Yarrowia lipolytica: one gene and its partner. The protein of the gene in region 2 purifies or fractionates together with the protein of the main gene of each other region. This does not show direct contact. Links are inferred from orthologs where the notes say so. Each region holds a gene or a part of one and is shown on either strand. Other genes may lie near its edges.

What was found. The genes of interacting proteins can lie anywhere in the genome.
Region 1: the proteins of YALI1_F18202g (region 2) and YALI1_E22126g purify together in Saccharomyces cerevisiae (affinity purification with western blotting, with the first as the bait; 3 studies listed by BioGRID). This does not show direct contact. The link is inferred for Yarrowia lipolytica from reciprocal best matches to the Saccharomyces cerevisiae genes STE11 and CDC37.

Annotation. Positions count from the first base shown.
Region 1 is NC_090774.1:2,207,629-2,217,915, reverse strand, and holds YALI1_E22126g (uncharacterized protein), read right to left. Parts: upstream 5,281-10,287; coding exon 3,871-5,280; downstream 1-3,870. Other genes in the region: YALI1_E22159g (uncharacterized protein), read left to right, coding at 2,042-2,989; YALI1_E22117g (uncharacterized protein), read right to left, coding at 5,671-6,216; YALI1_E22111g (uncharacterized protein), read left to right, coding at 6,790-8,838. UniProt on the Saccharomyces cerevisiae protein: Co-chaperone that binds to numerous kinases and promotes their interaction with the Hsp90 complex, resulting in stabilization and promotion of their activity.
Region 2 is NC_090775.1:1,814,551-1,826,073, forward strand, and holds YALI1_F18202g (uncharacterized protein), read right to left. Parts: upstream 5,721-11,523; coding exon 2,886-5,720; downstream 1-2,885. Other genes in the region: YALI1_F18152g (uncharacterized protein), read left to right, coding at 729-2,531; YALI1_F18226g (uncharacterized protein), read right to left, coding at 7,829-8,059, 8,110-8,142; YALI1_F18239g (uncharacterized protein), read right to left, coding at 8,168-9,355. UniProt on the Saccharomyces cerevisiae protein: Serine/threonine protein kinase required for cell-type-specific transcription and signal transduction in yeast. It is thought that it phosphorylates the STE7 protein kinase which itself, phosphorylates the FUS3 and or KSS1 kinases.

The sequences.
Region 1 (10,287 bases), on a different chromosome or scaffold from region 2:
CGTATCTTTAGAGTGAATGGATTGAAAACTACAGTGCGGATGAAGAGGCAACCGGCCGCGACCCGAAGGCTCTTGTAGGAATTTCTGTGACTCTAGATGACCCTGCGACCGTCCATATCGCCACAAGAGCTTTTTGAACAGAGCCTGTTAATGACCATACTTCCATAGTCCAGATACTGACTGGTATGGGTCTGCCGGCAGACATTGTCGCATCCGAAGAGCCGAGAAGTGATGTTCGCCAGCAGGAAATGTCTTGTTTGGGAATAATGCTTTCAGGAGTATCCGCTCGAAGTTCCGACTCGACAACTGTGTAGCTGGCGACTCGGCACGTATTTCTCCACATGGTTCATCTTGCTCCTCCGGCTCTGGGGACTCTTGGTCTTCAGGTTGTCGGGCTTGTCTGAGTCGGCTGATACCCTGGCTCCCTCTATAGTCCAATGGTGCTGGCTGTCAGTGTCGCAACGGTTCTTAGTTTCGTACTTGTCTTACAAGTAGTAGTTTCTGCGATGGAATCGCTCTTTGCAGTCCTACAAAAGTATGTAAGAGTACTCTGGCCAAAAACGAGTACTGACAGCTGCTCATCAATGGATTGGTATCATTTGACTGTCCTTGACAAGAAGATTCACAGTATCAACGCACGATTCACGGTATCCAAGACAATTCCAACAGATCAGTCATGTTATGCACAAGTACCACTAGTAGACATCTACCTTTGAGTCTTGGCCAATAAACTGAAGAAAGCAGTTATTCAACTCGTCATACCATTGCCGTAACACCTCAACGATCAGAGCCAGCTATCCCTCTTGACCATGCGGTAGGTCTGAACGGAGAAGACGTTGAGAAGTCCTTTGCTGCTCGTCCATGGGGATGAATGGTGCTGGCCATCGTCAGAGTTCAAGATAAAAAGGCGAGGACACACCCTGTCGGTATCTGATGGTAAGTTGGGACGTCAGATCCATATCTTTTTGCCGAAAGGTGCAACTGCGACTGGCCCGACACGTTGGCGGACATCTCTTTTGTTGCAACTAGCGGTGTATGTAGAAACGGAATTACTAAAAGTTGGAGTCATACCAGGGTGAGTTGAAAAGGCTCCAACTTTTGGAAATCCCGTTTCTTCAAAATTGACCTATACCTGAAGGTATCTCCAGTTGGTTAGATGCGTCGGTCGCATACTTGGATATACGCCGATGTGCTTCACAGCCCACACTCCCTGCGATGGCTTCTCACGAGTCCTGAAGCACAGTCAGAAGAACTTGCAGCTACTCTGGCTTGTGGCTGTCAAGATTGGTTGTAGGTGCGTCCAGAGATTCCAAACCACTCAGCCAGCGCAAGTCGCAGCCAGTACCCTCTGATCAGCCTCACAACGCTCTCCCATGTCCAGTTCCGCGTCTCTCCTGATATACGACCTGTTTTTCGCCGCTCCAGGCCAGTCCTCGTCTGATCGATTCGAATTGTGTCGATATCTGTTCCAGAATAACAGAAGATCAGCGTGACCCATAACATGACAGTCAGTCTGGATGACCAACTCAGGGGGCCACAAGTTGTTATCCGACATGTCATTCGACATCTCAGTCAACAGCCAACAACCGCCGGCCTCTGCTCATCGTACTAATACCGTAGTATGTACTGGTATTGTGCGAGTACAAGGCTTGCAAGAAATTAATGATGGACTCAGTGTTGGTTCGGAGAGAGTCACGTGACTCCCATTTGCATTTCCACTCGATGACTAATCTGAATGACCGACGACCGCGACGGTTCCCACTGAGTCCTCATCACCATCCTGAGATGAGGGATCCTTTTATTTATTTATTTTTCTCGCATTTTCCTCATTTTTCTCCTTTTGTTTTTGTTTTATTTTATTTTTATTCAATTCAATTCCAATTCAATTCAATTCTTAAATTCAATTCAATTCAATTCAATTTAATTTAATTTAATTTAATTTAATTTTAATTTAATTTTTTCCCCCATACGCGGTTGTCGATAACCGGTGGGGAAGCAGAGTTTAATTGTGCGGCCAAAATGTTTATAATAGGCTCTGGTGATGAGCAGGCTAATGTCTCGACTGACTATACGACCAGGCCACCGAATCGTTTATCGCCACCAAATCGTTTATCGCCACCAAATCGTTTCTCGACTCTTTTCCACACTTTCCGCTTCCATGTCACGACACCCTAGCCTCAAGGAGCTCGAGAAGGAGCGACCGGCATTCGTAGATCGACCGGGATTCACCTTCACAAACACGCCCAACACGGAGTGGCAGTTTGGAGATGGAGCCAACTCGCAGGATGACGGGTGGAAGAAACACAAAAAGGTGAGCTTCAGTCCCACGGCCGAGGGCCGGCCGCCCATGTTCAATTACAAGCTGCTGATTGGCGCCGTGACCCCCCGGCCCATTGCGTTTCTGTCCACAGTGAGCAAGGACGGAGTGCGGAACCTAGCGCCCTTCTCCTTCTTCAACATGGTGTCGTCAGACCCGCCCGTGTTCGCCATTGGCATGACCCGAACCCCCAACGGCCACAAAGACAGCTGCCAAAACCTGCTCGACACCAAGGAGGCCACCATCAACATCATCAGTGAGTGGTTCGTTGAAGCGGCCAACTCGTGTGCCATTGCCGCGCCCTCCGACGTGGATGAGTGGCTGGTGAGCGGTCTCACCCCCGTGGAGTCTGAAATTGTCAAGCCTGCTCACGTGGCCGAGTCGTGTTTCTCCGTGGAGGTGAAGCTTCTGCATCATTACGATCTGTACTCGGTCGCTGATCCCAACAAGCATACCAACACCACGGTTCTGGTGCAGGCGGTCCAGTTCCACGCCCGCGAGGACGTGATCAACGAGGATCTCAACTTTCTCGACGTGACCAAGATCAAGGCCGTGTCTCGACTCGGAGGCATTTCTTACGGCCGAACCACCGAGGGCTACGAACTGCCTCGAATGGTCCACGCCGACGAGAAGGACAAGGACGAATACAAGAAGGCCGTCCACAGGGAGTAACTACAGATAGAGAATAGATAAGTTATTGCTTATGAACCGGAGAGACATAGTGAGCTGTGACAAAACAATCACAATCCCACCCAACGCATGTCCCTGAGGCATTTAGGAGCACAATGCAAGCGAACGCACGTCCCTGAGTCGTCCGGAAGGATTCCCCACGTGTTCTGGGCGTACTCTGGACGTATTCCCGTCGTTTAGAGTAGTACCTAAACCGCCGAGATATTCTCCTTTGGGTATGACAATGCGATATATGCTCATGTCCTCGTACATACATTGAAGAGATAGCGCCCACCTTGTGTTAATGCGTCTTGGACTCGATGTCTCAGCTTGACTATGCGCCATAGAGCTAAGAATTAGGCTGAAGTACAGCTGGTGTGGTACATTCTCAGTCAGGGGTGTTGAAGGTCCCATTGTGGAGCTTTTCAGAGACATTTGTCGACGTGATAGCAAGGTCCAGTTGATCCGACAAGTTCAAAAGGTTGCTTGACTTGGTCCATGACTTCATTCTATCAACTAGCCCGCCCTTGTACAAGTACCTGCTGGCGTGATAATGGACTTGGAAATTGCAGCTGGAACAATCGAGAGAAGGCTGCATTACTGTCTCAAACGTTGTCTTGTGCGCTGTGCAGTTCCCCCATGGAAGGTGCAGTCTCATATACGTTTCATTGTTACAAGTTATGCCGATCGGCTTGTCCAACCTGCATCATGGACAAGCACTAAGACAGTATTAAACCGTGCAGACATGTTTCACCCGCACAGTATCGTCTGCACAGCTGGTATTGCTTGTTTCACAATTGCTTTTTTCCTGTATGACTATCTTATTCCTATGTGCTCGTGTACATACAAGTACCGCGCTTGTACATACTGTAGTTTGACTCTGGTCACTCCTCCTTGTGCACAATCTGGTCCACGTTATCCCGGACCTCCTTGTCCTTGTTCTGCTTCTGCCACTCGGTTGCATCGTAGATCTTTTCCTCCACGGCGAGAATGCCGCATTCATCGAACATTCGCAGCACCTTCTCGGCATCTTCCACCGAGTAGTTGGCCAGAACCTTGTTGATTTCCTCCAGCTTGCCGGACTCGACCGCCTTCTGCATCTCAGGCGACAGCTCGCCAAAAACCTTCATGGCGTCCGCGTCATCCTGGGGCGGCTGGTTCACCACAATCTCCGTGTTGGGGTCGACGGCATGCAGCTGGATCTGCTCATTTTCCTCCTCGCTCTCCTTCTTGAGAATCTCGCACCGCGTCTTGACATGGTTGATGGTGAACGCCACGTCTTTCTTGAGCACCTCGAGAGCGGGGTGGCCCTGAGGTTGCAGGATCCGCTCAAAGAAGTTTCTGTAGCCGTTGGGGCCCAGCTGCGCACAGTACTGCAATAAAATGGCATTGTGAACCGTTCTCTCCATGTCGGCAGTCTTGCCGGCAAGTTGCAGTTGGAACCCCTCCATAACCAGCGCATCCTTCTCCTTCTCGGTGCAAATCTCGGGGTGTTTCGAAACAAACCGGTAGCACTCCTTGAGATCATCAGCGGGAATCTCGGCAAACTTGCGGGCAGCAGGAGACGGATCAGAATAGTCATCATCTGTGTCGTCAGAAGCCTTGGCCAGCGTGCTCTCAACAGGAGCGTCAGAAGAAGTCGACTGTCCAGGACTGTTGAGAGTCTCCATGGTGGTCTCGGTCTTCTTGGGCCGTTCCAGATCGGCCAGATCGTCTTCTCCAGCATCGGGCTCTGCAGTCTTGTTCAAAACTGTAGAGTTGTAGACATCGTGCACGTCCTCGGAGGTGATGTACTTTGCCTTTTCGTCGTAGAGCTCGGCTAGGCGCTCTCGGTGGCTCTTGTCGTGGTCCACCAGCTTGTCTCTATGTTCCTTCAGCTTGTCGTAGAAGGTGGCGCCGTTGTCGGTATCCACGTCGGGTTTGATCATGTCCAGAAGACTCTCCAGCATGTCGTCACAGTTCATCTGCTCCCCTTCTTTCTGGGGATTGGGCGCGGTGGGGGTATCTTTGGCCTTGAGACCCTCTTTGGACTTGACCAGCAGCTCCTCAATGGAGTCTTTGGCCAGCTGCGCCTGAGGCAGACTAAGCAGCTTGTCCAGACGCTCCACCAGCTCCACATCGATCTTCATGGTGAGCTCCAGCGACGCAATCTCCATCTTATTTCGATCTCTCTTCTCATGGATGTCTCGTTGCTTCCATCGGATGAACGATTTCTTGTCCACGTTGGGATGCACCTCCACGTCCGAGTCGTCCGACAGTTCAATCTTGTCCCATTTCGAGTAATCCAGCACCATTCTTGTTTGTGTCTGATGTTGAGATGGGGATCAAGTATACAGTATATATATATGGTTTGCTGTAGGGCAGTGTCACGTGGAGAGGTTTGAGGTAGATGCATAGAAAAAGGGGTACGAGAAAGATAACTGGATAAATGAGCACGTGAGACGGATAATTGAGACTGGAAGATGCGATTTCAAACGAAAAAACCGCTCCTTTCTTATCAATTGCGCCCAATACCACCCCCTTTCCAGGTTCTTCCAGAACACTCTACTTGAACGTTATTGTTACTTGGCCTAATAGTTGACGAGTATGTACTGTACGTAGGCAGCCAGTCTCGTCTCCAGTATTCATATCATATAAATAACATCAACATTTTGGACAGCAATGTTATCATCGCTCTATAGTAATCAAGGGAACACCTCAATGGGCTGACTAACAACGGGCAGGAAAATAGCCGAGAAGAGCAGCAGAGAAATCTCGGGAGCGCCCAAAAGAGGCATCTTCTTGGTCACCTGCTTGCTACGTCGCTGCTGACGTCGTCGAGACCAGATTCCCAGGGCTGCCACGCATATGCCTCCAGTTGCCCAGGTGTAGACTTGTGAGAACTTGGACCATGTGCTGAGCGCATTTTCCAGCTGCTGATCAGAGAGATGGTCAATGAGGCCGGTGGTTCGGCTCCAGAGAAGAGCCAGAGTTCCCAGCGGCTGCAGATTGACGGCAAAGATTGGGTATCCGATGAGAATGAGCGGTGAGTAGTTTTCGTACAGAGTTTCTGCGTCAATGTCGAGTTTTTTGGCCAGACGGGCTTCGGACTTGCTCGCGGTCTCAATGGCGCCCTGCTTGAGTCCGCGGATGGCGTAGATGGCTGTGAAGACGGGGAAAGCGGCCGAGAAGAGCGTGTTGATGGCCACGTTTCCTGTGAGTTGCCAGGTGAATTCTCCACTTGCGGGCATGGTGGTATCTGGAGAAGGGCGACTGGGGGAGGTGATGAGGGAGAGTTTGATTCCAAGAGAGTTGATGGAAGTCAGCCGTGAGTTTGTGGATGTTGATGGGCGGTCATCATGTGAGAAGGTCTTGTTTTTTGTCGTTTATAATCCACCATAGCGCAACTATCACATGTCTGACAAGTCTGAAAAGTCCCTAGTTGGTCCGTAGTTGGCATACCAGTAGAGACCTGCTCACTATGGGCAAATAGGGTTAGCAAGTTAGGGAGATAAGCCGAGCGGCGGGGGTGGGTGGGTGAACAGTAGGGGGGTGTTTGGGGGGGTTGAAAAATACTTAAAATAGAGAAAAATATCCAGTAATATAGAAGAGTCGTTTCCGCGAATTTTGGATATTTTTTCGAAATATAAACCCACCCAGAGGGGTGGTCTAATCGCGTTTCTCTCTCCCCGATAAAGCAACCGATAAAGCACCCCAACATATCCTCCCACCTTCCGAGTTAATTAATTGAATTTCCGACTAGCAGTAGAGCTGTGTGCGACTGACTCCAACAGACCATCCCCACACCAACGACTCTGGTCTATATGGACATTCTGGAATTTGTGCAGTGGGTGGGGGGCGACCTCGGGGTGGCGGCGACCGAAACGCTGGTCTCAGACTCCGCCCAGATCACCCCCACACTCTCGTCTATCACGGCCCAGACAGCCACGGCCACGATTCAGTCTGCCCCTCCGTTTGCCGACACTCTGCAGCAAAACCTCGAGTTCTGGCTCAAGCCCGAGTCCAAGTTCACCATCCACGTGGTCTACATTGTTAGCTCGTACGCGTCAACGTCGGTCATCATGGCCGTCATCATGAACCGAATGTGGGAGTTTGCACAGCGCCGAAGAGCCACGGTGCTGCCGGCTGCCAGCCAGACCATGGCACGAAGTATCCCCATCATGCTGTCTCTGCCGCACCTGTGGCGACTGTTTAAGGCCTCTGCAACCTGGGGTCCCAGCTGGATCGGCGCTCTGGCGCGCTACCTGCTGCCGGCATCTTCGCTCACAAAAGACACCCTGACCGACGCCTACCCAGGTATGTTCAGGTGCATCTGCATCTCCCAGCTCGTCGAGACGTTCGTGTCGCTCATCCAGGGCCAGGTGCCGTACTCAGAGTCCAACATGTCTCTGATAGAGTACTCTCTGTCGTTCCACGAAGCGGCCCAGCTCAAGGAGCCGGTTCCCGAGATTATCGTCATATGCTTGATGGGGCTCGTGAGCCACGTATTTATTCACCTGCTGGCCATCTTCAAACTCAACAGATACAGGCTTATCCCCTCGGCTCTGGTGGGTCTGTCGTTCCTAGCCTTCTTCCAGGTTCAGGCCATGAAGGGAAGACTGCTCAACTTCCCGCTGATTCTGGTGTTGGGTTTCATGCCCCAGGTCATCTACACCTACGTCATCTTCAGCACAGTCGTCATGGAGGTGGCCACTATGCTCATGACAGGCAAAAGGGTGCCCTCCATTCTGTTTGAACGTGTGTCCCTCTCGCAGGACTTCTACACCTGGTTCGAGGTTGTCAGCAACAACGTTACCAAGTCTGCGTCAAAAAACAGATACATTAACGCCGGATACCTGGAGACGCCTTCCGAGACCTGGATTGACCAGCAGCTTCGGTTCTTCCGTGATCCGAACAGAACTCGAGAACTGGGAAGCTCGCCGGGGTACGGCAACCAAGTCTTTATGCCCCCTGATGGGGTCAAGCAGTTGATAGACCAGTACAATGTGGGTATTGCCAACCAGCTCATGGACCGCGTTCGTGTTTACGTTGAGTTTCTGCGCATCTATTCCCTCATGGTCTTTTTTACTCTGAGAGGCATGCTCCGGTCTATTTTCCAGTCCAAGGCTCAGCAGCCGCATACTCAAAGCTTCCACACTTCCGACGGCGAAACGATAACGATTCTGTCGGCGTCGTTTGCTGATGAATCAGAAGAGGAGGACTACGTGTATACCGAACCTGTCTACGACGAGGATGATATGGCGTACGAGTTGCACTCGGATTATGGAAGTGAGGAAGACGAGGAGTGGGGTGACGAGGTGTACGACGACGAGGGAATGCATAGCGACGACGTTTTGGAAGAGCAGATGATGGTCTCAGAGACCATTGCAGAACAGGCCATTCTTTCTGAATCGTCTTCTGGAACAGAAACTGAAGAGACTACCAATACTAGTCGACAGCACAAGAGCCGACTTCGAAAACGTCGCCAGTCAGAACTCCAGACATTGTACGACCCCTCGGAACTAACATCCATCATCTCCCAGCCTAATGCGAAGGAGTCCAAGATTCTGACTGCCCACATGAACCAACATCGGCTGACACGGTCCAAGTTTGGTCTGTTGGCTGAAGACGAGGGAACAAAACTCGCCCAGGTGATTATGGAGGCGCGACAACGATATGAAGGCATGGAGCGCAAGGACGAACGACGGTACTGTGTTGTTTGTCAGTACGAAGAACGGTCCGTCATTGTGTGGCCTTGCCGATGTTTTGCTCTGTGTGGAATTTGTCGCCATGAGTTGCAGTGGAAGAACTTCAAGGGATGTGTGTGTTGTCGGCGGGATGTTGAGTCTTACTCCAGTGTCTTCCTTCCATGAAAGGAAGACCCTGAAGACACAGTCTTATGTGGGTTTGCATGTTGAAGCAGTTTTATAAGTTATAATAATGATGAGATGAAAGGTGTTGATCATCTGGCGATTTTCGGTATTTTAGAAAGAGTTTCGATAATGCACCGATTTCTTATCTCAACCTTGTTTGGTGATCCGAGGTTTGTCGGACACAGCGAGCGTCGATCCTATGTATATATGTATATATATTTATGGATCCAAGGTAAAGCTATCCTTGTCGTTGTCTGTATTAGCATCTTCAGACCTTTGACAGGTCTGGGTGTATCCAGTATCTTCTGTTTTGTGGGGCGATTGAGCTCAGCCAACAGAATATCTTATCTCGGGACTTCTGGTTGTTTGGAGTTACCAACACGATCATGAGCGTATAGGGTGTCGTAAAGGGGGTATAGAGAGTGTAGAGGCTCTTTATTGCTGTTTTGGTGTTATTATTGTATTGTTGGTCCAGATTTTTCGTTTTCTATCTTTTACATTCACACATTTTTAATATATGTGTATATATATTTTTTCGGCATACATTCATTTATTTATAACTTTGGCTTTGAAAGAATATATATATTATATATAATTTCACCAAAAAACCTGATAAAGTAAACTCTCTCGAATGTGGCAAAACTACATACGAGTACATATAGTACCTCTAGCTACCCAAGCTTGTATTATATGTGGCTATTGTATTGTACTGTTTTATGTTCTCATTTGACGTAGTTGGATACTCCTCACTATTACTCGGTCATACTTACCCTTACTACTGTAGATCATTAATTGACATTACTTAACAATTACTTGACATTACTTGACATTACTTGACCCACTCCACCTCAACTAACTCTATAAATAACTCTATATAAATAGCAAGACTTCACGAGCGAGGGTAGGAAAGACTCCGGTATAACATATATATCTTCACAACTCCCATCTTACTCCGACACTCGAAACCCCAGATATGTTCTTCACCGCATAAGAGTGGCTACTCTCTTTACAATACCCCTGCAGTGGCGATCTGCTTTCTGACGCGAGTACGAGCAACTCAACTACAGTCCAGTTAGCACTGGAGCTACAAGTACAGTAGCAGCCACAAGTAGAAGGTACATTTTCCTACGTAGAAGGTACTGGCAGCTCCTACCAACCCTCTCTTTCGATCTTGTCTCGTTTCTCTTAGAGTTGGTCACAAGCTGTCACTCTACTGGACTCGAAATAACGCTTATCACCCCTTGGGCAGATCACCGTCCCCTCTCGGGGCTATTTTTCTGAGGAAAAAAAAAAGGGGGGTAAGCCAAGGGGAAACGGAGGATGTATAGCGCGGGAAAAATGGGGAAAAAAAGGAAAGCAATTAAAAACAAATCAAAGGGGAGCGAGCACATGACCCACTAGTCCACACAGCCCCGTCCCCCGCCGCCACGGGCTTGTCTACCGTCTCGG
Region 2 (11,523 bases):
TGAAGAGGGGTAGAGTATCGTAAAGTAGGTCTCCTATGTACAGCGCTCCGAGTCCATCACAGCGTGCAGAGAAACAAGAAGCAGGCAGTTCCGGGGTATGTGCCGGCCACGCCAGTTCACAGTGAGTTCGGTGGGACGCAGTCTCCGTTAATGCGCCATATACAGTAGAACATTTGACTTTCATGGCAGAAGAAGAAGAAGGAATAAAAAAAAAAAAAAGGCGCTAAATTAAGGCAGATCTAAAGAAAAGCTTGGACGGCTCTAAAGAGAAACCAAGGCTCGAAAGAGGACAGGCCAAGAGTTAATGTGCTTCGTATGAATCAGGCATGGGTCCGTGATACAGTGGCACCAGCTGGGTCTATGTTGAGCCGTGATATTGTTGAGATATCCTGCAATCATTCCAGATGGTCTCCGCACGGCTGATGCCAACTCACGTGAAATGGACTCATTTTTTCTGCACAGCAACATCTCAATCTCCTCGCTTGGCACTCCCGTTTTTTCTTTTTCTTTTTCCTCAGGTCCCTGTGAACAAGCCACACCCGGCTGGATGCCTATCAGCAGCACTCCAACAACTTTAGACGCTCTTGCACCGTCACGTGAACCGTGCTCATACCTGGGTACGAAGATTCCGGGTCAGATGTACAAAAAAAGATATGTATATATATATATATGAATGGAGCTGCTAAAGTGGTCCAAAGTATCTCATCGGTCTCACACAAGCGAAAATCATGGTCTGGAAGTTCCTTCCCCATCTCAATACTCCGTCGGAAACGGACTACAACAACGTCTACCAGAGCCACCCCAAATACGCTCCTCCGGTGGTAACCGCTGCGGTATCGGACACTGATGAACACAGCAGCTCTGAGAAAATCACCGCCGAGGACTCGGACATTGTGTCTGTGGCTCTGGGCGTGACCGAGGAAAAAGAGCTCGAGTACCGAGACGAGGCGGGCCGACCCTGGTGGAAGTTCTTTGATGAGTACGAGTACCGTCTTAATAAGCAGGACCGATCTGGCCAAAAGTGGTTCAAGTGGTTCGACGAAAACGATACTCCTGCCGAGCGAAAACTCATCTGGAAACTCGACATTCTGCTCTCCTGCTACGCCTTTCTCATCTACTGGGTCAAGTTCCTCGACCAGACTAACCTGAACAACGCCTACGTTGCCGGTCTCTCTGACGATGTCCATTTCAAAGGCAATGACCTGGTCAACACTCAGGCCATTTTCTCCGTCGGAGCCATCGTGTTCCAGCTCCCCTTCATGTTTCTGCTCCCCAAGGTCCCTCTCCATATTGTTCTCCCTCTCCTCGACTTCTGCTGGGGTATCATGACTCTGTGTCAGTACAAGATGAACAATGTCGGAGGCATTCAGGCCATGCGATTTCTTGTTGGAGCCTTCGAGGCCTCTCTTTATCCTGCTTTGCATTACCTGCTCGGATCGTGGTTCAAGCCCAAGGAAATCAACCGACGAGCTGGTTTCATGTACCTCGCTCAGTTCTTCGGAGTGCTCACCTCTTCTGTCATCGCCGCTGGAGCCGTCAAGCATCTCGACGGCGTTAACGGGCTTGAGGGATGGAGATGGCTGTTTATCATTGACGGAATCATCACCATGCCCATTGGTATCATCGGTCTGTGGATGATTCCTGGAACCCCCGAGAAGTGCTACTCCATCTTCCTGTCCAAGGAGGAAGTCGTGCTTGCCCGAGAACGTCTCAAGGACCACAAGGAGCGAACCTCCGGCGAACCCCCCAAGCCAAAGTACTCCTTTGGTGATCGAGGCATGTGGAAAAAGATCTTTTCCTCCTGGCAAATCTACGTGCTCTGTCTCGAGGGCATCTTCTGCTGGAACAACAACAACGGTACCTCTGGAGCCTACCTTCTGTGGCTCAAGTCTCTCAAAAACTCCGAGGGCGAGCAGCGATACACAAACTCCAAGGTCAACGATCTGGGAGCCATTACCCCCGGTCTTGGTATGGTCTGGATTGTACTCACTGTCGGCATTGCTGATCTTTTCGGATCTCGATGGGGAGCCATTGTCTTCACCCAGCTATTCAACTTCACTGGTAACACGATTCTCGCCGTCTGGGACGTTCCCGAGGGAGCCAAGTGGTTTGCCTGGATGCTCCAGTACTTTGGATGGGCCATGGCAGCCACCATGTACTCCTGGCTCAACGATATCTGTCGTCACGACCCCCAGGTCAGAGCCATCATTCTCATGATCATGAACATGATGGCCCAGACCTCCACTGCTTGGATTTCCGTGCTCGTATGGAAAACCTCGGAGGCTCCTCGATACCTCAAGGGTTTCACTTTTACTGCTTGCTCTGCCTTCTGTCTTATGATCTGGACCATGGTCGTTCTCTACTTCTACAAGCGAGACGAACGACAGCATGCCAAGGAGAACGGTATTGTGCTCTACAACTCGTCTACAGGTGAAGGTCTGGAACATGTGCCTGAGACGATTATCGAGGTGAAACCTCATGACGAGAAGGCCGCAATCAAGAGCCAGGCTGTTTCTATCCACTCTGCCTAAAACACTAATTCAACTTATTTATTTGCATTCAACAGCATATGACCCCCTTAATATATTTCATGACTATTACTATCCAACAAATTGTAGACTTCCACTGATAGTATGTAACGTCAATGGACAGTTATGTATCCGAGCCGATCCGTTATCATCTTGTATTCGTAATGGAAACTCATTTACACGATTTTACCTGAGTTTATCCGAAATTAATTAATTTCAATCACGCACGCCTAACCGAGACGCAACTTTATATGAAATAAGGTTAATATGGGGGTTGCGATCTTGGATCATTATTAAATAGAACCATCAAGTCTCCTCAATGGCTAGCTTCATTCATTAAATACCATCATACAAGCATCACGTATTCAAAAACTCGTGGGCCAGCAACTCCGCGGCCGACGGACGCTTGTTGTAATCCTGCTCAAAGGTCTGCCGAAGCATGTCCTTAGTGTCCTCAGAACAGTTTTCAGGAATGTCGGGTCTACCACTGGTACCAATCTTGAAAATGGCCTGCATCTGACTGAATTGAGGAAACGGATGCGAGCCGGTCAACATTTCCACAATCAGACACCCTAAACTCCAAATGTCGGCCTTGAGAGTGTAACTCGTCTGCTTGACAACCTCGGGGGCCATCCAGTAAACAGAGCCCTGAAGAGACTGCCGGTTGGACGATGAAGCCTCGATCTTCTTAGAAATGCCGAAATCGGAAATCTTCACATTTCCCTTGTTGTCCACCAGCACATTGGCGCCCTTGATGTCTCGATGGATGATGTTTCTAGAATGCAAGTAATCGAGACCCTTAAGAATCTGGCGCACAAAATGTTTGACAAGAGGTTCCTCAAACTGTCCATATTTGGTCAGCATAGAAGACACGGAACCACCAGGAACGTACTCGAGGAAAATGTTGAGATACTCCTCGTCAGAAGACGAACCAAGATACTGCACAATGTTGTCATGCTGGAAATCCCGTAGCAAATTCATCTCACGCTGAAGAGCGTCAACCATGGCCTGCTTATGCGATGTTTTGGAAAAGTCGCCCAGAGAAACCTGCTTGACGGCCATAAGCTCTCCAGTAAGACTGTTCATGCCAAGATGAACACATCCAAACGAGCCCTGGCCAATCAACGTACCCTTGATCCAGTTCTTGGGAGCCTCAGACTGCATTGCAATGATCTGCTCATCTGACATGTCATCCTCGGAAGGGGTAGCGCTGTGGGGAGGGTCCACGAGAGAAGCTGTTGCTGAAGCTGCTGCTGATGCAGCCTCTTCTTGCTGGCTCAGAGTCTCGAGAGTAGCAGGAATGGATGCTGTACTCTTTCGCAGAGAGCTTCCACGCTCAACCTGGGACGAAGACTGTGTTCGGCTGGGCTGCATGGACTCTCGAGTAAGAGTTTGGGGCATCGAGAGATCCGAAGGAATCTCCGGAACAGCAGGGATATTGTCCGAGTCGTTTTCCGAGCCAATCCCGCCCTCGTTGTTCATGAACGACGAGATGGTCGCAATACTCATTCGGTTGTAGTTGTAGTTGGACGCAGTACTGGTACTCATGCGGGACATTCGGTTGGAAAACCGAATCGAGTTTCGGATCGTCTGCTCCAACACCTTGGAGCCTGCCTGAGGAAAATATTCTGCCAGGTTGGAAGAAATGAGCTCCGAAGGAGGTCGATGACCGAATCTCTGAAGTCGTCGAGAATTGTGGGGAAGATTGGATCGGGGCAGCGGGGCCATTTTTTGGGGGTCGGACGAAAAGTAGTCGCCCGAGAGTTGCGAAATGGTAGGCTGGTTGGCCGAGTAGTTGCCGGAAGACGAAGACGAGTTTGTGTTTGTGTCCACAGACTCCAGCAACACAGATTGAGACTTGGCAAACTGCTTTTGAGTGGGAGGCATGTCGTTGAGACACAGCATGAGTCGACGACGCTCAGCACGTGAAGGAGAGTGGCAGATGGTCACCAGCTCATTGTCAGACACAATCCGGGTGGATGTGGCGAATGCATTATCGGAAACATGGATACACCAGTTGTTGGGCGAATCCTTAATGGCAAACTTCTTGAGTGCCGTGCGAATGATTGATTCGGCATTGAAGCAGCCTGAAATGTTAACTGTCTTGCTCTGGCCCATGGTGTAGATGAACTTGACAGTTCCCTGTCGAACCTGGTCCATGGACAAGATACCCTTAACGTCGCCAGTAGATGTGGTGGAGGAAGGAGCCCGCGCTGTTTGGGGTCTAAGGTGGCTGGAGAAGTCTGATCCAGCGCTAGATGCTCTGTCTGGGGTGACTGGGGTTCCTGACGATGACGAGATGCCAAGACCATGGCTTGCAAAGGGGGAGACGCATTGCTCGTCCAAATATGACAGAGTTTTTCCAGTTCTGTGCTGTGAACGCTGGTGTGGGGTAGGTTGCTGATTCTGCAAAGTGGTTTTTCTATGTTGGCTTCGCAAATCCTTGATGGCCACATTGATTCTTACCCGGTCACCCACTTTGACCACACCCATGTCCTTGAGCAGCTTCTGGTCGATTTCCAGCAGCACTTCACCACAGATTTCGTTCTGCTCAAACATGGGGATGTACTCTGCACACTTAAGCGATCGCAGCCATTCGGCCACCTTGGTCTTGTCCCACGACGTGACCAATGGAGTGTTTGACACTGGTGAGACGGCCGAGACGGGTGCCGATGCGCTCTGAGCCGCATGAAGGGCCGCATGAGCTTGTTGGGCGGCCTGGGCGGCCTGTGAATGCTGGCTCTGGGCTTGTGGGGGCGGGTGATTGGCTCCCGGGATGGCATTGGCCGCCGAGGAGCCATTCGAAGGGCTCGAGTAGTGCCGGATGGGCGGTGGCGGCTTTTTTAACGTTGGAATGGGTGGGGGAGCATGCTTAGGGATCTGTGTGTGTATCTGGGAATGTGATGGTTGAGACTGACTATGTGTAGGCTGGGGAGGTCTGCCCATGTCTCTAGGAAGATGTTGGGGTCCCACGTTCATGGAAGACTCGCGGGCGGAGATAAAAGGCGCTGGCGGTGGTGGCGGAGGTTGTGTGGGGGCTGAGGCGGAGGTTGTGCCTGCTGTGGAAGGCGTGGTCGCGGTACTCTGGTCCGGTGCCAGTTGCAATTTGTCAATTTGCAGGTCTGTGTCGCCGAATTCAAACCATTCCGAAAACGGCGACAGCGGCGGCGGAGGCGGGAGATACTCCGACATGCCGTTTACAGAAGAATGGAGAGTCGGACGGACGACGTTTGATTAGTGCAGGGTTAGTAAGGGTGGTGGTTCACTTTTGGCGGCACTCTGACGGTTGGCACTTTTGGGTTGGCACTTTTGGCTTTGGACATGTTTGGCTTTGTGGGAGTTGCCGGTGTGGTTCGGTGCAAGGGTGTGTGTGGAGGTGCTAAAAGCTCGGCATTGGTGTGGTATGGGGGAGCATGGGATAAGGCAGCGAGGTATTATTAGTTCGGAGGGTATAGAACGTCTGTGCACACACACCCCTTTTGTATATGGTTACGCCATCTCCCCGACATTGACTGGAGATACCCGATCTACGATACCCTTGCACTTTAAAATGCTGTGGATACGACCGTACAAGTACAGTCAAGTCAAGTACAGTAGCTACTGTAAGGATGGAGTGTGTAGAGGAGAGTGAATGGGCGATGGTAGATGGTTATTTTTTTGTTTTTGTTTTTGTTTTTGCAAATTTCCTGTATACTGTATATCGAATTTATCTGAATTTACAGAGCTTTTTCCTTTCCTTTTCAGAGCCTTTTCGTTTCCTTTTCTTTTCTTTTCTTTTCATTTTCTTTTCTTTTCATTTTCAGTTCATTTTCATTTTATTCGCCGTTAATTCTTTAATTTAAAACAATAACCAGCACCACGCTATCGACGCCATATTAACAGCAATGCTCGCCCTAATCATATCCGACAACATGTAAGCTCCAACGCTTGCCTCATTGACCGTTTCTATCTCACCGAACGAACCCCACTATCTCGTTTTTACCCGATTCCCACCATTACCCCGATGTGACCCGAAACGTCTCATGTGCCTCATGTGTATCCGTGCCTCATATTCTTTGTATGAAGTGAAAGTACTAGACTACTTACTGCTTCTGGCTGCGGCAAGCAACCACGGACCGATTCCGCTTCAGATATCAGATATCCGGTTAAGATCTTCTTCTAATCGACCACAGATTCGCCAACAGTATGTACATACATACTGAACCATATGTACTGTACTCACATACACCCCTGAACTGCACTCATGTCAATCACCGCATGCCTTGAGCAGAGTACAGGAAAAAAACCAACAGTGCAAAGACCCATTCAAAAGTGATGGATGTCGTTCGTTGCCAACACTGATACACCGTCTGCGGGAACACACTCTATCGCTACGGACCGCCCTCGACCATGTGACCCCTGCAAATATGTTTCATTATCCCGTGTCAAAACCTGTACCACGGAGTCCCTGCCTAACTGCCGGCAGGGTGCAGCAACACCTCGTATTTTTCGGTTTTTTCACACAATCGCGGACTTCCGATTGACTTTGCCAGAGCAATGACACCATGCACCAAAGCAGACAAATACCCCGAGGAATGTACAAACAGTGGTTGTGCTACCGTAGACGGGAGCCATTGCAAGTGGCCAAATGTGTGAGCTGTAAGAAAACTGCGGTACAGAATCTCGCAATTGGACCTGTTCAAAAAGAAACGAAAGATGCATCAAAATCCGCTGCCAGAGGCAGATTTGAGACCTCGCCAAAAGAGCTCGTGAGACATTTTTACATATATTGGCATGAAAAACGAACAAAAGTGAGACTGATTGTGAGACATATGAAACAGCTGAGACACTGGCGGAGAGGTATCTTTATCCGGCTTTTAACTGGCGGAGAGATATCAAATCGGCAAGATCAAACGAACAAGTGAACTACAGGTACGGAGTGAACGATTGAAACGAATGGGGAAAACCGAAAGGGCAAAGGGGCTATCATTCCCTCGCGGCTCATTTTAGTCCTCATCTACTTGTAACTACTCGCTAAACATTATAGCCGAGGGGTTCCTCACATACAAGTGTGCTGTACATACTGATCGGTACTTATGTCATTGAGTCAAGTGGCAGCTTGGCTGTCATGAAGATGTATCGTACACTGTTCCAGAGCCTAACAATTGATATATATCGGCTTGGATCAGAATATTACGACTTCGTGTCCTCGAGTCGTGAGCTCCATCCCAACAGTAATCTCTCCCGTAGCTGTCAGTGAAGAATAATTACTCATAGAGGATCAACCGACATGTCCACACCATCATGACTATCAATGACTATCAATGAAGCTGATAACCGCCTACAGTCAAGGAATAATAAATAATTGAGCTACTGAGATAGCCATGTATGCAATGTTGAGTGGTAGACGACCTTTCCACTCTAAGCTGTGAATTCGTGAGATGTGCGGAGTTGGAACGAGCAAAAGAGGGTGAGAGCTGCTTGGGACTCATAGCGTTCAATCTGCAACTGTAAAGAGCGGCAGTCCGTGTAGCCACCACATTCAGAGATTTCTAGTATAACTCCTACACAGGCTTGTCACACAGGTGAATCCTGTGATCACCCATCTGTCGCGCAACCGCCCCATATCGTTCATAGTATCCTGGAGTCACACCCACAGTCTAGGGCTCCTCTCTCTCTCCTCGTCCCAAGCTCTGGCTCCTCCATTCTCTCGCGCTGTCGACAAAGAAACTGATTCCACCAAGTGCGATAGGGTCAAATGCTAGATGAGCCGACCTAGTTCTTCTCAGAGCATGATGATGGTGATGTGGCGCGGGTGCAGACGATGCCAGCTGGTGAGTGGGATCAGGAGGTACCTCCAACAGACCTGACACTTCGCTGGGAATCGCCAGCGACTCTGTGGGTGTCGGTGACCGGGTGCTGAAGCTCGAATAGCTCGGGTTTTGCTGCAGTCTGGGTCGACCAGGAGCGGTTCGCGCAATTACAGTCACTCCTCCAAATGTGATGATGCATCCCCCCACAAAGCATGTGATCTGACCGAGAGTCATGCCATCAAAGTCGTGATAGGTCATGGCAGAGCCCACAATGACTGACAAGGTGAACAGCACGAAGTGCGTGGGAATCACCACAGTGCTGGGGAAGGTCTGCAGAGCTCGGTTCAAAAAGTTGATCTGGAACACAGCAGTGGCAGCCAAAACAAACGCACAAGCGTAAGTGAGTGGATCGTAGAGCGCCCTAAGAAATGCAAAAGAAAGCAGTGAAGACACAGCTTTTGTGCTCAGCGCAGTCAGAGCGCCAAAGAGGGCCACCAGACCAAGGTAGACGAAGAGCGCCGTCTGCTGACGCAACTGCTGCCTTGAGAAATGCAACAGCAGCGTTGCCGATACAAACACAAACACAATGTAGACGAGGAAGGACTTCTGTTGAAGAGCCGCCATTATCATGGCATGCGGATCACGTGGTTCCACCGGTCGTGTGTCGCTCTGGGCACTTGTGGCACTCAGAACCACAAACAGAATGCCTACCACCGTCACCGCTACCCCCATCATGTTGCTCCACTTGACCCGCTCCTTAAACACGATAGGAGCAATCAGGCAATTGGCGACAATGGCAAACACACCGAGTGGAGAGACGACCGACGCTGGTGCAAACGCATATGCCAGAAAGTTGCCTGCCTCTCCTATCGTCATCAGAGCCAACCCACACCACCACACTTTGGAAGAGGTGTAATGCGGAGAACTCACATCGGCCTCGAGACGAATATGCGCATACCGTTGGAGATTGAGAGCAACCGAAATGATAATGTTACCACAGATGGCGGTCGTGATGCCTATCAGAGCGTAGTTCATGTTGCATGTGTGTCTGTCGTTAGAGCTGTGAACTGTATGTGAGGTGGTGATGATGACCCTGAATCACGTCACGTGATACGATAGGGGAAGACCGGGGCGAAATTTGGGCGGGATTCCGGGAGGTTCGAGTTGACGGGGTTCGTTTGATGAGATGCGATAGTTATTGGCGGATGTCGGAGTAAGATTATGTAAGCGAAACGTGGACTGGAGATTTAAGCTTTGGGCGGGGTGTAAGGGATGATGAAGTGTGAGATAACACCAAAAAAATTGTGGACAGTTGGGAAAAAAAAGCGGACAAATAATTGAAGGTCAGAAAGTCAAGAGATAGAACCAATGAACTTTTTGGTATATATTATAGCTCACAAGTATCGTATTTGCGGAACTGGGAAGACGGAAAGACGGAAAGACGCGAAAACTGTGTTGAGACCACATTCTACTAATATTTCCATTTACTTGGACAATACTTGAGTCTATACACCGCCCCTTAATACGCCCACAACAACGTGGACACCGGAGGTATAATGTTTTGTGGGTGTGAAGATGGGCTGGTGGAATGCATTTTTTACCGACTATGGGCATGTGCGACTATGGGCATGTGCGACCATGGGCCTGTATCTCACATGTTAGCCTTACTTCCGAAGTGCAGCCTAGTGATCGACACTATGCGGAATGAGAACAGGAAAAAATAAGCAATTGCTAGGGGTCTCCTTGGCATGGACCCTAGATGACCATCTTTGTATGGTACGCGAGACATGTGAATAGCGACATCAAAGTGATGGGGTATGATTTGGTATCTCAATGGCAATGGAGGGAAGAAGTGTGTTATGTACATGTACTGATAGTGGTAGTTCAAGGCAGACACTTCAAGGCAAGAGACGCTCGGTTGAAAAGCAAGAGATGCCAGAGCACAGGATCCTGCTTCACAACGGACTTGTGGAATCGAGCTGGGACTCAATCCTACATATTCGAACCGACAAAGCACCCATGAGACTAGCGTAAACCGACCCGGTTGTATCATGTCAATGGAACGTATGTAGAGTCTCCCGAGAACGCAGGTTAGTATGCATAGAAGCCTTTAGAGATGCTGGGGTTCTGGAAAAGGCAAGGGCTGCTTTGGAGCGGCGTCTTGACTAGTGTGAACATGAGAATCCTAGAATGGTCTAATTGCAGGGTCACACCAGATCATAGATGTGCTGTTATCACCAGCGAGAGGGCGACGGCACTGTCGAGCGTGTACTGAATTTCCATTAACGAACATGTTTTAAGACAAGCTGAATAACAGAGCCGCGGTATCTGAGCACATTGACTAAGCGTGAAGAGGCACCCCCGTCAGAGGCACCCGGCAGAGGTACCTGTCAGCACAGAGAGGTATTGTGGTTCTGGTTCTTGTGGACGGAATCGGTACAGCACAGACACTGAGCGAAGGTGATACCGACACAGTAGCAATGCTTGGTGTTGATTGTTATCCTTTTACGGTCTGTTCATACCAGTAAGAGTTGTTTCTACTCCCTGATAATCTCAATAGTCCGTGGCTGCTACGAGTATGCCGATTTCTTCCATTTTGGTGAGACAACCGATTCATTCAGTTCCTTTGTGTGTACAAGGAAGCAATGCTTTTTCAGCCGTAATGGAGAAAACATAATCATGTCTCGTGTCGACGGTAGAGCCGTCGGGGTTTCACCTTCAACGGATACAGTACAGCAAACGGGTTCTCTCTTGCCTCCACCTTCACGCCTCTTCTCCTCCCCTTAGCACAACACATTAGACCCCTGCCGTCCTTCATCCTGTCTCTCTCCAATACGCCAAATGCAAACCTATGGCTTCAACTGTTTCTCCGCGGATACGGCTACACCATGGAAGTTTGAGCGGCGTCCGAACCTTTGTGCTTGGAGAAAGAGTGAATCTTGTGCTGCGAGATGTACAGCGTGCAGCCATGGGTTTTTGGAGCCTTGGTGGCGCTGTATGGGGGCAGAAAGGGTCTCTTTGGGTATCATGTTTTCTGTCGTATCGGCATCGGCACATCTCTCCCGAATCGTGGGGAATAAGCGATCTTTTTCAAAACAGTATACGGGAAGAGGTGGATTGTAGAGAGTGAACTACAAGTAGCTGCGGAACTTATCGGCAGACTGTGCGGAAAAAAACATGTAAAAGTTGGAGGACAGTACAAC